2 linked regions of the Lytechinus pictus genome follow. The protein of the gene in region 2 binds, or shares a complex with, the protein of the main gene of each other region. Links are inferred from orthologs where the notes say so. Each region holds a gene or a part of one and is shown on either strand. Other genes may lie near its edges.

Region 1 (7,863 bases), on a different chromosome or scaffold from region 2:
AAATAGTAATGCCACAACATGAAATATATGATTTGTTATTTTGTCTACAAGAATTTATCAAATTGAAAATGTTCTCTTGACTCATTTTAAATTCATATATACCAAACATAAAATTTGACTGTCTAACATCACCATTACATAGATTTGTGTAAAGGATACTCTATGAAGCAAAAACCGCAAGGCGTTCTCTTGACCTTGTCGAGCCCCATAACAACACGCTTGATATCACCGCACTTCGAGAAGACCTCATAGATTTGTTCCTCCGTGGTGTAGAAGGACAGGTTACCTACATACAAAGTGCATGAGTCTTTCAGCTTCCTTTCTTGCTGGTCCATAGAGCCCTGCAATGAATTCATATAAATAATAATTACCAATTAAATGCCTTGCTCTCTGTTGCTCTTTCTTTAAATCATCTAATTTTCCATCCTGCACAGATCGGGCCATTTGTCTGAAGAATTAAAGTCATCATGGGACTGGTAAACACTTTACTAACATGAATATCAGTATGTGGGACTAGAGTGAAATTTCAGATCAGATAATTGCTATCTTTGGAAGAGTTTTAAAATGTGAAGAAATAAAATATCATCATTGGATTTAATATATTTTGTCACTATCATACTAATAATTAACATACACGAAAATCAAGTAAAAAAATTATTTGTCCGGGGGTCAAACTCAAGGTCAAAGTAAAGGTCAAGACCTTATAAATCGCTCCAATTCATTATTTGATGCATGTTTTGGATTCCTCTCTGAATTTCCTTTTGAATGGTACCAGTTTTGTGAAAATTGGTCAACACGTTACGACGCAATGGCCATTGAAAGTTGAAGGTCACGCCCATTTTTGTCAAAACAAGGAGAAAAGGGCGGGCCGTAGCACGAGAACCGACGGACCGATTGGACTATTTTTTTTGTTTTGTGCGTGGGCCATGGTGAATTTTATGTGTACCAAATTACAACGAATTCTGAGAGGGTCGGGTGCAAAATTGCACATTCATTGGGTGAATTGGCATGGAATGACCCTTCTGCCTTCCTTCATTTCTTTCTGTCTTTCACTCTATCTTTCTTTTCTTTCTTTCTTCTTTCCTTTCTCTCGTTTTCTCTTCCTTCCATCCATCCTTTACCTTTTCTTTTTCTCTCCTTTTACCTGAATTTTCTTTCTTTATTCGTTCCTTTCTTTCCTTCTTTCCTTTCTTTCTCTTCCCCTCAGTTTTTTTTCTTTCCTTCCTTCTTACCCTTCTTTCTTTCTTTCTTTCCATCTTTCTCTTCCCCGCAGCCATTCTCTCTCTCTCTCTCTTTCTTTCTTTATTTTATTTTTTTTACTTTCTTCCTTCCTTTATTTCTTCCTCCTTTCTGTCTTTCTTCTTATTTTTTTTCTTTCATTCTCTCCCCCTCTCTTAATTTCTTTTTTTTTCTCTGGTTATTTTCAGTGATTTCCCCTTTTTTATTGTGTGTCCTAGTCCCCTCCAAAATATATGGAAAATATATGAGATTAGGAAATAAATTAAAGAGCATATTGACCATACATTTTGTCATGATGTACAAGATAAAAATCATTAAAAAAAAGAAATACAGCTACAAGGTACATCAGTAGTCATGTTGAAAAATATATTAATAAAGCCGTCAATGGTATGGTATGTAAAACCGTACGCCTATAACTTGTTTTGAAGCAATAAAACTTTGTTTTGAAGGATTTTTTCGGGCAAGTGAAATCTATATTCAGGCAAGTATTTTCCAAATTTGAAAATTTACTTGCCCGACTGGGCAAGAGCTTCAAAAAAGTTATGTAGCACCCTGTTTAAGCCTGAAGAATATTTTTGAAAAGTCCGCGAAGTTTGGACACCCTATCATACAAATAATCTGAGCTTTATATATTTTGATGAAGAATAATGGACGCTAATGCAGTTTCGCACCGGCCGATTACCAGCATACCTCATCACCAATACTTGTTCCCAAATGTCATGACAAGTCTCTCAGTCACATTTCGAGGTCAATATACCCACCTCTTTTCCAAATATCGCGATCGGGAACGGCTGTATTTCAGCTTTGATCTCGATGTCGTTGTTCGAATCCTCAGACATCACTTCGCGGATCGCTTGGATTCGCCGTGTGCCGTAATGTTGATATGGACTGAAGTTAGCAACCAAATCATGCTCACATGTGGCGAACAAACTGCCAGCATGCTGCAGGCGAATCTTTTGGTCGCATGACTTCAGTCCATATCAACATTACGGCGCACTGCGAATCCAAGCGATCCGCGAAGTGTTGTCTGAGGATTTGAACAACGACATCAAAGCTGAAATACAGCCGTTCCCGATTGCGATATTTGGAAGAGGTGGGTATATTGACCTCGAAATGTGACTGAGTGAGAGTGAGAGATTTGTCATGACATTTGGGAACAAGTATTGCCTTGGTGATGAGGTATGCTGGTAATCGGCCGGTGCGAAACTGCATTAGCGCCGAATAATTAATGTTCACTCTTTTGAATTCTGGAATTAATTAAAGCATCAATTGGTATTTTGTGTGATGAGAATTTCATGAATTTCTCTCCGATTTCATTTTCGTCGTCGAGACTTCTCGCGTGAAGTTGAGATGATTTAGCAGCGCAGCATAGAGGCGTGACATCATGTACTATCGATAACGCAATCGGTATCATTCCTCTGAACCCAGCTCGGTGTTGGAGCTCGGTTCAGCGGCCTTTTTACGCTCTCAACACCAACACCGAACTTGAAATCACCCAATGCCATGCCAGATGCCGAATGAAGCAACGTAAAAGTGAATGCGTGGGGTTGTGTAGGCCATAGGCCTAAACGAAAAAAAAAACGAAACAAGGGGTCAGTTTACAGGGTGTTATCAACTAAATTCAAACAATTTGACAGTTTAAAGAAATCATGAAAAATCATACCCTAAAATGCTGGTCTCTATAGGCACTAAGCTCAGTCATACGGTCTGATTTTAAAGCCATTTTCGGTACTTTTCTGCCAGTCCCAGAGAGCGAAAAGTTCCAAGCGAAACGCCAACAATTAGTTTTTAATGAAAACGCCCTCTACGCTATAAACGCTATAGCGATCACCTTCTTTATTTTGTATAGTGAGGGAAAAGCAAACAACAGATGCTGTAAATTTATGCTTCAATATTTAAAACCTAATCTCTCAAACCCATACAGCCATAAAGTTTACCTTACAGAACAGATTTGAAATAATTGGAAACCAATGATCATAACCTAGGGGCCAGACCGGGGGGGGGGGGGGTGGCGTACGTCGGCGTCCAATCCATGCAGTTTCTAATTGTATTGACCTGCCAAAATCTTTCTTTAAAAGATTAAAGTGGAAGTTCACCCTGACGATAATTTGGTTTTAAAACAGGAGAACAATATATATATATATATATATGACGATGTGCATAAAACTGTTTTCACAAAATATTGATAAACTTTAAAATTCAATAACTTCGTTATTTGTTATCTGATTTTGATGGAATTTTCAGCATTTTGCTTTGTGAATTTTACTCTATTTATTCAGATATAAATATTTTCAGCCCGGACCATCCCTTTAAGTTTTTAAAGAATACATTTCTATCCAGTAGACCCATTTACCTCACCTGGGAAGTGAGCTCAGCAAAACGTGGATCAACTTCTTGCAAAAAAACCCCACACCATGGCTGGGATTCGAACCCATGACCCTCGTTCAGGGGACTAATCCACTGGGCCAGTGGCGTACCGTGGGTCACGGCATTGGGGGGGGGGGCATAAGCAAAAATTTTGAGTCACTGTTGCCAGGTATACTGACCTAATAGAAACATTTTAAGGACAGTGCCATTAAACGAATATGTATCTCATTGATGAAATATTGCGAGCAGGAAGCGCGAGCTGAAAATTTTTGATGTTCAGACCTAAATTGGGACATTATAAGCAATTTTTTGTAATCATGATACGTACCCGTCTCGCTAAACAAACAACGCGAGCGCGAAGCGCGAGCTGAAATTTTTTATATATTGACCCCAAACAGGGACATTTAAAGGACTATACTTTAGGAATCCACGAAGAGTATACATATCTCACCATAGTCATCTAATGCGAGTGCCAAGCGCTTGCTGATTTTGTTAGAATTACATCTAAACACATGAAACACTTTTTGTAGTCATTATAATCATGATTATCATACACCTCTCACTAATCAAATATTGCGAAGCGCGAGCTGAAAATTTAGGAAATTCAGACGTGAAGAGGGCATTCTAAGGCTTGTTTGTTGGAATGCACTAAGACCATACGTATTTCACTAACCAAATGATTGGAGCGCGAAGCGCGAGCTGAAATTTTTTATATTCAGATCAGAAAAAGTGACACTTTAAGGACTGATTTTAGGAATTCATGAAGATCAGACATATTTCACCAATCCTCTAATGCGAACGTAAGCACGCACAGGAAATGTTTTATATTAAGACCTTAAAATGGGGCAATCACTTTAAGAAGTCATGAAAAAGAAGCATGTTACTACATGAAACAAAAATAACTCGAAGTATATTTGGTGTATATTGACTTGAAAACGGGAGGCTTTAGTACAACAGGATTATAAATCTCGTTAAAAAGACAATGCGAGCACCAGGAACAATAAAGACTTAGGCCCTGAGCAAATTATGTTTCATAAAGTTATGAAAAAATATGTCATATGTAATATAACATAACATGATTATAATATAATATATGAGTTCTTATTCAAAGGAATTTCATAGTGCGAGAGGTTTGCATTTGGTGAAAAGATTCTGCAAAATAGTGTGCAGTGACTTTCTAGAAACTTTAAATCATGTGTAATATGGAGAGGTGGGGGAATAGGACTGAGCACCGATGGCGCTCCAACCCTATAATTTGTTTGAAATATACTAGTAAGAGGAAAAACACGCTTCTTGTCATTTTTTGTCTTTTTAAATATATTTATTCCTATACAATTCAAGAAAAGGAACACGTTCTTAAGCATCTGTAATGATGGTAAAGTTTGAATTTCAAAAAAAAAATAAAAAAATCCCCCCCCCCCAAAAAAAAAATCGATTAGACATTGTCCACAGCTTCGACTTTCTTATACATTTTGTATGTTAATATGGTTAAAATAATAGTTCAATGCAACAAAAATACCGTTTCTGCTTCAATTTAATATGGATTTACCAATTACTTGTGTTACTTTGACTGGACTATAAGGGATAATTATGTGTCTAGTATTTATCTGGTGTAACTGCGGAAAATCGTACTTTAATATTTCCCTCAAATTCGGGGAAAATGTGTGTTAGTGTGTGTAAGGGTGTGTTTGTGGGTGGATGGGTGTGCATGTGTGGTTATTTTGACATTTCTCTCGAAATCATCGCTCACTGCCATTATCAGCCTCGTTCAGACATGGAATTCTTCTATTACGCATGGATTAAAATTCAAAATATATTTCTCCAGTCTTGTCAAGACCAAGACAAAGGCTGTTTTGGTCGGAGGAAGCCCAGCCGGTGGAAAAGTAGGAGTAGTGCCCGTCTGGACAGAGTTACCCCGACCTTACTCCGACCAAGATACTAATACTGGTTTGCCTTTTATCTACACTGTTAAAAAAACCTGATTTTACAGAAAAAAAGAAGATTTTGCAGAAAGCAATAACAGAATCATTCTGTAAATTCATAAAACAGGAATTTTTCTGCAATTTAACAGTGAGAACAAGTCTGTTTAAAAAGGGGGAAAGGGTGTTTTATTTAAGGAAATTTGTAAGGTTCCATACACCAAATACCAATTTTCTGTAAGATTACGCAATCTGGTAAGATTACAGGTGTTCTCGAGACCGTGCTGCAGGAACTTCTTTTATTTTAAGGTTAACTTTTCTAACAGTGCATGTACACTCTTAAAATGTTGGGCAACATATACTCTCCACACAACAATAAAAAAAATTGTTTAAAAAATTTATCCAACTCTGGGTAGCTTTCAACCAATACTGAGTAGTTTTCACGCACCCAAAGCACACATGATTGGTTTAAAAATACCCAGAATTTTATAAAGTTTTCACCAATTGTTGTGTGGACAGTATGTTGCCCAACGATTTTTGGAATGCAACCTGACCTTCCTGGCACGATTCCTTTGTGTACGATTATTTTTTTCATCTAAGGATTGAGAATTCCAGACGTTTTTAATTGTGTTTACCTGCCGTCCGAATGATCTTATGTTAGATTTCTTTCTGCCTAATAAACTTTCAGAAGTGAAAATTGTGATCTGCGTGTTGGTTCAGATAGAGCATGATAAAAAGTAGATCTTGTAATGCATTTTAGTTCCAACGAAGATATTTATTTTTAGAACTATAGCAAAGTTTTGACGCAAACACAATTTGATTTATGTTAGTGAAACCTTGAAGAAGACGTGCCCACGTCAAAACTTTGGTATTTATAAGAATGACAATCTTCATTGGAAATGCATTAAAATTCCTTTCCTTTTGTAACATGAATTGATCAATTCAAGATATATGTCATTTAAGGATGTTATCAAATAGCAGTATGTGATCTAAAGTGTGTTTTTTAAAATCGTTCTTTTTCTGCAGCAGTAATATCCTATACAAAATTGTTAGTGTTGCATTATATTTCCATGCAATTATTATTCCATTATTATATATGGTAAATTAAGGGTGAAATATAGTGTAAACAATGTGCGAGAATGGAGAAAATGTTTGAGCTTATAAATGATTCAAATGTTTCTAGTAATTGTTATACTTATATCATCGATGTGAGACTTCCCGAATAATTTCGTATCAATATGAACACCCCACAATCCTGTAATAGAAACAATTTCAAGGAAAAAACATATATGGGAAAAGGAAATATTGACTATAAGTAATAAAAAGAGGCGGACCATCACTATGAAAAAAAAATTAGTCAATCATGACTAGTTAATAGGGTCAGCTGGGTGCAACTGTTATTCTGGTCATATTTGACTATTTTCTAATCGTATTTTACTAGAACAGAGTTATTTCTGACTAGAATATAAAATTATGTCAGAAATGTGACTATCAGTTGCACCCAGATGACTACTGGCCTAGTCAATTTGACTGATTTGTTTTAAGAGTGAAGGTCGCTACTACATGGGACGCCACAAATAATAATTGGACGAGGAGACAAATTGCAATTATTTACTGATACAAATTGCGTCCAATCAGTGAGGTCATCAACCACTCCCAAGGCCTTCCCTCTAACTCCACAATGACAAGGCTTGCGTATAGAGAATTTCATGATTTATTGTGACAAAGGCCTTAGAGAACTCAAGGATGATACTGACAGTTCACCAATATCGTATAAGTGGTGAATTAACTTAGAGAAATTGCATGGAAATTACTATGGTTTTCACGGAATCCAAACTGGAAGTTTGAAAAAAAAAGCGTTGTTATTTGAAAAATTCATTTGTTTCTAGAATTTTGGATAGTAAAAAAAAGATTAGGACGGATGTTGGACGGCTATTGGAAACGAGTTGGTTATCACCTTTTTAACGATAGTTTGACTTTAGAAAGTGTCATTTTATCGCCGGGAACCTGTCAAGTGCTTAGAAAGATATTGAAAATGTGTACCAATGGATCAACGATGGCTGTGACAATCTACATATAAACTTAGGCATACCTTCAGATTGCTAAGAATGTTTATAATTTCCATCTAATTAGTAGGATTAAATTAAAAGAAAACCCCATGGAATTGGGGTTGACAAGAAATCATATAGGATTTATTATCTCGAGGCACTTTCTTAGCCAAGTTGTTGCCAACTTGTGAAAAAAAATATGGATTGAGCTTGTGATTAGATTAGTGTCGTCTGTGATAGCATTGAGTTTTTTGCTTGTGTGCGTGTGTGTGAATGTAGAACTCCTTTTT
Region 2 (7,444 bases):
TTCCGGTTCAGAGTCATGCTCGCGCGAGGTTCGCGATGGTCGCAAACCCATTGCTCAATTTTTAAATTTGATATTGCTGATTGACAAAAATGAATGAATATGACTGACAATCTAACACTGATTCTAGGGAGGGTACCTACTGAACTTACTTTTTCCAAATTGGAAAGATATATCACCATTATGGAACTATATTTTTACTGGCGGAAGAATTAGGGTCATTTTACTCACTCAAGTGATGAATTTGGTCCCAGCAGGTGTAGTCTTCATAAATGCGGATTTATTTTCAAAATGAGCCGGTCGAGGTACCCTTTTCTGGTCAGATATGGAATGTCAGACATTTATCCTATCCACTGGTAGTAAACATTCAACCCTCAAATTTCCTCCTTATTTTTTATGAATTCTTTTTAAGTGCCACTTTAACACACGAGTCTATGGGAAATGAATTAGGCCTGTGAGCCCCGATACTGAGTTTTCCACCATGCTGAAATCGATGCCAATCAGCGTAATATGTACAGATTATAATACTTTTTATTTAATTTGGTCAGTTTTGATTCCATTTGAATTATAAATTTAAAAAATATATATATTTCACGTGAAAATAATTTTTATTCGTGTTTTTATTTGGTTATAAAAAATGAATATCTTAAAATTTTGCATTTAGCGACCGGCCTGACATCACGATCGTATTCGACCAGACGCTAAATATATACAGCCTTCATTCCGTTCAATTTTTCGTCGACCACAAAATGGATAAAAAATCAGTTTCGGAACTTAAAAAAATCTTAACTGACAGAGGAATACCGTGCAATGGAAAGCATCGGGCAGAATTAGTGACTTTAGCAGAAAAGGCCGTTAAACTGTATCGTGAAAGAGAGGGTTGTGATCAGTAGCGTACCGTGACTCGGAGGAGACAAAGCATTGGGGGGGGCAAAGCATTGTTCACAGACAATGCAGTGCCCCCCCCAGTGCTTTGTCTCCTGCGGTTCACGGTACGCTACTGGTTGTGATCACGAACTTTCCGAGCGAAAGCGACGTTGTGTTGAACTGATGGCACTGTTGATCTGAATGGCAAAACAGTGCATTGGACTTCCGAACAGGAAGTTGTGATACCGAAAAGCTATCCCATAATGCAATGCACGTTACAGGGATTTTCCCGGATCTCGGCGAAATCGCTATTTGGGGTAGCGAGAATTGAAGATGCAAATTTTGAAATAATATTTGTTTTATTAAGAAAATTGAATATGTATCATTATATGAATTAAATTTCCATCAGCTGCTTTAGACAAAATAAAATTACAGAGAGGTTAGAGGGGGACCATGAAGAATACTAGGGCCTATACGGCTTCATAAAATGTTTTAAATTCAGGGATTTATTTAATCTTTATTCTGCATGTCATAGGCCTATATATACATGTATATATATATTTCTTAATATGTATACAGTGCGTATAAAAAAAAACGGGACAGATTTTAAAAGTATATAAAATTTTTGTTTCGAATTATGATCTCTATATTTTGGTGTTAATAGGTGCTCTGAAGTCTTATCCTTCAAATGCCATTAAAATAATTTAGTTTCGTTCATGCTTGTTTTTGTCTGGGGTTAAATAGTAGGCTTGCACAAAAATGGCATAAAATGATAAATATGATGGTCGGACTTCTTGCTAATCGGCAGACTTCCTCTTAACCTTTTCATTATCTTTGCCATAATTTTCGAATTATGCGGTTAAAATTCATTTCCAAATCTACTTAAATTTGCTTGAATTGTTCTTTGGTTGTTCTCTTTTAGCTTTGAATATTCCTTCTTTAGGCAAGAACAATTTTTTTTAAACCGAAGTATGGGAGAGCGTGTTTTTTTCTTCAAATCCTTTCATTGTGTGCTACAAAGGTTATGGTGCCTTTGAACAGTGGCATACTGATGGGTGGGGGTTCGGGGTGCCCCCCCCCCAAAAAAAAAAAAAGGGAAATAACAGAAAACATAGACAGTGAAATATGATATCATTTTCTGAATAAAAAAAATGGATATTTAAATTAAAAAAAAATTGATATTTAAATTTTAAAAAGTAGAAAAGTTTGCTTGCTCGCTTCACAACTTTTTAATACATTTTACCAGATCTGCCATATCTTGCTCCTTCAAACTTGACTCAATACACCATTGCCACTGAAAGACATGAATCCTTTCCTGTTTGTCCTGTCAAGCACATAATTAAACTTGGTGAAGGATTCAATAACACCTTAAAAATAGGATTCATGTCTTTTATAGGTACCATAACATAATTTGTTTCACTTAATAAAAGGGATTTGCATAATTACAAATTCTCCCAATTAATAATGCAAATCTTCGTACTTGGGTTGACAAGAAGTCTTCTTTTCTTACTAATATGAAGGAAATTCCAAGGTAAAATAAGTTAAAATGAAAAACAAAATAATTCAGGTAAATAAATAAATTTGTAACTGAAATTTGACAGAATAATTCAAACATTATGGCAAAGATAATATTAAGATGAAGAGGAAGTCTGCTGATTAGCCAAAAGTCTAATCATCAAATTTCTCATTTCTGTCATTTTGGCGCAAGCCTCTTTTTGAACCCCCAACAAAAGCGTCCCGTGTTCGCTCAAGCATGAACAGAATTTATTTCTTAAAATGGCATTTCAAAGATAAGATCTCAGACCATCTATTAACATCAAAATATAGATATAATGATATGGAACAAATTTTTTATAGACTTTTCAAAACTGTCCCGTTTTTTTTATACGCACTGTATATACTGTACGTATATATACACACACACACACTAGCTTATTTTTAATATACTATATTTGGTCTCTCCGGCCGCTTGATCCTCGAGTCTCACACCCCCCCTCTCTAACATTAGATCTTGTAATGATCAAAATCAAAAGCCTGATTTGCAAAGGACTATATTTCCCCCGAAATAACAAAAACTAGCTAAATTTACTAGTTATAGAGATAAAATATATTATGGTCTACATTATGATTCTCGTCAATATTCTTTAATGGAAAAATAGCATCAGGCTCTCTTCTGATTGCCGAATAATCTGTTCTAAAGACAATCGGCCGTTTGACCCGCAATCACCATGCTCACTTTTCCCACAAAATCTTCCCAAATTTAGCCCCAGAAAACTATGAAAATATTGTGAGCATTGATTTCATACTTTCACTGTGCAATCATGGTACAAACTTTGTTCTATACCGGGTAAATCCAGATTCAGTGTCCAAAATAATTTCAATACGAAGAAATCAGACTTGAAAAAGCCTGGATTTTGAGTGATACTGCACAAAACATATGGCGTTGTATGGCTTTCTGAAAGCCGATTCCGCGTTTGCTCCCTTTTCATTTCCGTGATACTTTGATACTTAGCGACGAACGCTATTTGCGATAAGGTCTATGGCAATATGCCAATGGCCAATTGTGAAAGGACATTAGTCTATCAAAGTGCATGCCCGAATACCCCACCACTTTCCAAATTAAGCATACTGGTACTTGCCATAGTACTGTGTGTAGATTGTAGCCATTCAACATGGTGGTGGGGGTATTCTGCTTCTGCACTTACGCCAAAGCAATTGAATCTAACAGCTCTAGATAATTTTAAAAAGAGAAGAAAAAATGTGGATGAAGATCATGAAGATGAAATTTTGACAAAGATTGAAAGTTTGAAGTTGGATTAAGAAGACAGAGGTAAAGACATTAAACAAGGCACGACGTTAGCAGTGGCCCATGGCCACCAGAAATTTAACTTGGGCAACCATCATTGAAAAATGCTAAGTTTTGATGGCCCAAATCAGGCAACTAGTAATTTTTAAAGCATGGCCATGGTTCGAATCCCAGCCATGGCGTTATTTCCTTCGGCAAGAAATTTATCCACATTGTGCTGCACTCGACCCAGGTGAGTTAAATGGGTACCTGGAAGGAATTTATTCCTTGAAATGCCAACGCGCTGTAAAAAGGCTGCGAGGCTAAAGCCAGGGTAATAATATCCAATTTAGCGCATAGGGACGCATTTGGCAGTGATATGCGCTATATAAGCATGATGGTATTATTATTATTATTTAATGTCAAACTTTATGTTAAAAAATTCTTTTTTATTATTTTGTTTTGCTTTATGAATGCTAAAATATGGATGATTTTAAAAAAAGTGTATATTTTGTGATTTTAGATGGGGGAAATTGTCCAAAATGAAATATATCTGCCAATAGAATTTGGTGTGAAATGGCCAGATTTTTCATAACTTGCATGTAATATCATTTGTCAAATGTTTCTCTAAATTTTGTAGATGTTATTCATTTATTTTTCTGCCCTCAAGCTAACTTGTTCCATGATCCACATGTTTTCTATGTCATATAATATCAAGATAGAGATATCATCACAATCGTTTATATTTTATTTTTGTTATCGATCAGAAATGGATACTGGCCATAGGTCCAAACGACGAAGGCCAGACAATGCACAGATTGAAGAAAGATTGGAGTCTTTGATCACCAGAGTTGGAGAGAAGGTAATTGAATGAATGAATTAATGAATGAGTTAGAAAAATCATTTATATATATATATATATTTATACAGTGCGTCCCACAAAAAACGAAACAGAGATTTATCGATTTATCATAACTTAATCACAAATACAATAGACAAATGATCTACCATTGTAAAGCTTAGAATCTCCTCTTTCATCTGAAGTTACTTAGATTATTTCTCATTCATGCATGAGTGAGCAAAACAAAATTGAAAAGGGGATACCAAAAAGTCACTTGGCGGGCTGTATCTGGGTTTCACAAAGAAAACCACATTTTCAAAAAGTTCAATATCTGCTGCTTAATTTGATACCTCAATTACAGAAAATGGTCGAGAAGTAACAAAGTTCTGGTTATTTGAAATAAGGCTTGAATTTCAATAATTTCATAAAAATGAAGAGGTTTTACAGGCCAGCGTTCAAACTCACTCGACACTCTGTTTTGTTGACAATCAGCCATGCATTAAGTCTTTTGTTACCGTATAGCTTCTGTGGGAAACCGATGAAAACTCGTTCATTTAATGAAATTATGGAAATACAAGCATTGTTTCGAGGGAACATATCTTTTTTACTTCTTAACCATTTTCTGTGATCAAGATATCAAATAAAAGAGCAGATATTGAACTTTTTAGGCATGTGATTTTCTTTATGAAATTCAGATACTCCCGCCAAATGAGTTTTTGGTATCCTTTCTTCAAATTGTTTTTGCTCACTCATGCGTGAATGAGGAATAATATAAGTAATATCAGATAAAAGAGGAGATTCTAAGCTTTACATTGGTAGGTCATTTGTCTATTGTATTTATGATTAAGATATGTTAAATCATCGCTAAATCTCGGTTTCGTTTTTTGTGGGACGCACTGTATAACAGAGCTGATATGTTTTACATTCTTTGGTAAAAGGACTCAACGGAAATACTAAGTAATTGATTGTCATATTGTTAATTCCTTGATTGATTTCCTTTAATACTGAGTGAATAAAAGTAGAGAATGTTACCAGTGGTTCAGTACAAATTATACAACTCATACATCTTGTAATTTGATTGGTTGAAAGCCATTAAATGTTTGATCCATTTTGTGCTGCATGCAAATTCTATTTTCCATTGCACGGCGACAATGCATTTTTTATTTTTCCATTGCACGGTTGAGCTTTCTCCTTCAGTGTGTACCACTAAGCATGCGTGTCTACGTACATTTTGTGTGTGTGTGTTTGCGCGCATCGAAGTAAGCGCATCAACCAGGCTGACTGCGCGCACTCAGATTCATGAATCAAAGTGCGTCACAAAAAAACAAAAACAATTAACTGTTTTCATACCGGGAAAACAAAAATATTTTCAGAGAAAATGAATTGTCAAACAAAGGCAAAATATGTCTTAATTCCATCTGCTTGTGTTGATTTTTTTTCTTATCTATTGTAAAAAAACAAAATCTAGATAATTTGTTGTATAAACCAAATGATGCATGCCTTCATTCGTCCATTATGCGACCTATCCACTCTCGTTGAGGCTGTGTTCACCCCATTGCACTCAGCCTAACGGCTTCGTGCAATGGATTGAACAGAGCCTCAACTCGCGTGAGGATAGATCGCCTAATGAACTCATGTGCATGCATCATTTGTATAACATATCTTTCTCTCCCCTTTTTTTTGTTATGCTACTGTACAAATTAGTAATTTGTCCAACTTTCTGTTCTTGTAATGTAATGCTCTTTCGTTCTTTCAAAGATCTTCAAGAAAGTGTACTCACATTTATAGGAAATTATAGCAAAAATTAACTTTTTGTGATTTTTTTGTAGAGTACTTCATCGCTTGAGAGTAATTTGGAGGGGCTATCAGGGGTGTTAGAGGCTGATCTACCCAACTACAAAGCAAAGATTATCAAAATCTTGTGCGAATGGTAAGATTTTTTAGTTTTGTGTACATGCATCAACATGATATGAACATATTTTTTGTAGACAGTAGAATTACACAAACCCTTCACATCTTCTGACCAATACAAAATTAATTCCATTTCAATTGTTACTCTGATATCATTTCATGGGTAATTCAAGAATATAAAAGTTTATTCCTATTTCATGTTTTGTATCTTCCTTCTTGTGAACACTGAACAAGTATTCATTTGAAACAATGTATTAATACATTTTATACCTTCATGTAAAGATGTGAATGTTTGATAGATTCTATGTTTCTTTTATCTTGATGAATAAAAATCATGCAATGCATTTGTACGTAAGGCGGTTTTACATGTATATGGATTTTTTTTTTTTTAACCTTTTTTTTATGTGCTTTTTTTTCTATTTAGCGCTGTCGCACTTCCAGAGAAGATCACTGTCTACACCACACTGGTGGGTCTTCTAAATGCCAAAAACTTCAGCTTTGGTGACGATGTAAGTGAAAAGGGCAAATACACAAAACTATTTGACATCCATTGTGAACTAGATTTGATATCATTCAATCTTTTCATGCTAAACTCTAGTTGTATTTGCCACCAGTTATTGTACCCAAATGATTGATATTTAATGCAAGACTCCAATGCCAGACAAACTTCTTGTGTCAAAATTGTATTACACTTCCTTAACTTGATATTGTCAAAACTTATTACTCAACAATAAAAGGCAGTCTGTTTTTTTTAAACATGGTGAACTTCTAGTAAAATAGCGACTCACATACTAAATTGCTTGTTTTCAGCCAGACATGCACACTGTGCTATAGTTAAGGGTAATTAATGGGGCATCTTGTATACATTAAGTTAGGGGAGGGAACTGTTCTGAGGTCCATGAATAAAAAGGTCAACCAGAAACATGTTTGCTGACATCACACTCCCTATACACCACCTGTATAAAATAGTTTAAAATGCCCTGTAAACAGCTTTTTGTTGGTGTCGAAGAAAAACTATGGTAAAAAAATATATTCAGTCTGTT

Evidence for each region.
Region 1: nuclear cap-binding protein subunit 1-like (region 2) and nuclear cap-binding protein subunit 2-like share a complex: the UniProt entries of both Drosophila melanogaster proteins name them as parts of the nuclear cap-binding complex. The link is inferred for Lytechinus pictus from reciprocal best matches to the Drosophila melanogaster genes Cbp80 and Cbp20.

Annotation. Positions count from the first base shown.
Region 1 is NC_087260.1:6,057,663-6,065,525, forward strand, and holds the start of nuclear cap-binding protein subunit 2-like, read right to left. Parts: upstream 3,053-7,863; 5' UTR 2,963-3,052; coding exon 2,903-2,962; intron 342-2,902; coding exon 160-341; intron 1-159. UniProt on the Drosophila melanogaster protein: Component of the cap-binding complex (CBC), which binds co-transcriptionally to the 5' cap of pre-mRNAs and is involved in various processes such as pre-mRNA splicing and RNA-mediated gene silencing (RNAi).
Region 2 is NC_087249.1:29,004,036-29,011,479, reverse strand, and holds the start of nuclear cap-binding protein subunit 1-like, read left to right. Parts: upstream 1-4,418; coding exon 4,419-4,511; intron 4,512-6,319; coding exon 6,320-6,420; intron 6,421-6,825; coding exon 6,826-6,910; intron 6,911-7,444. UniProt on the Drosophila melanogaster protein: Component of the cap-binding complex (CBC), which binds cotranscriptionally to the 5'-cap of pre-mRNAs and is involved in various processes such as pre-mRNA splicing and RNA-mediated gene silencing (RNAi).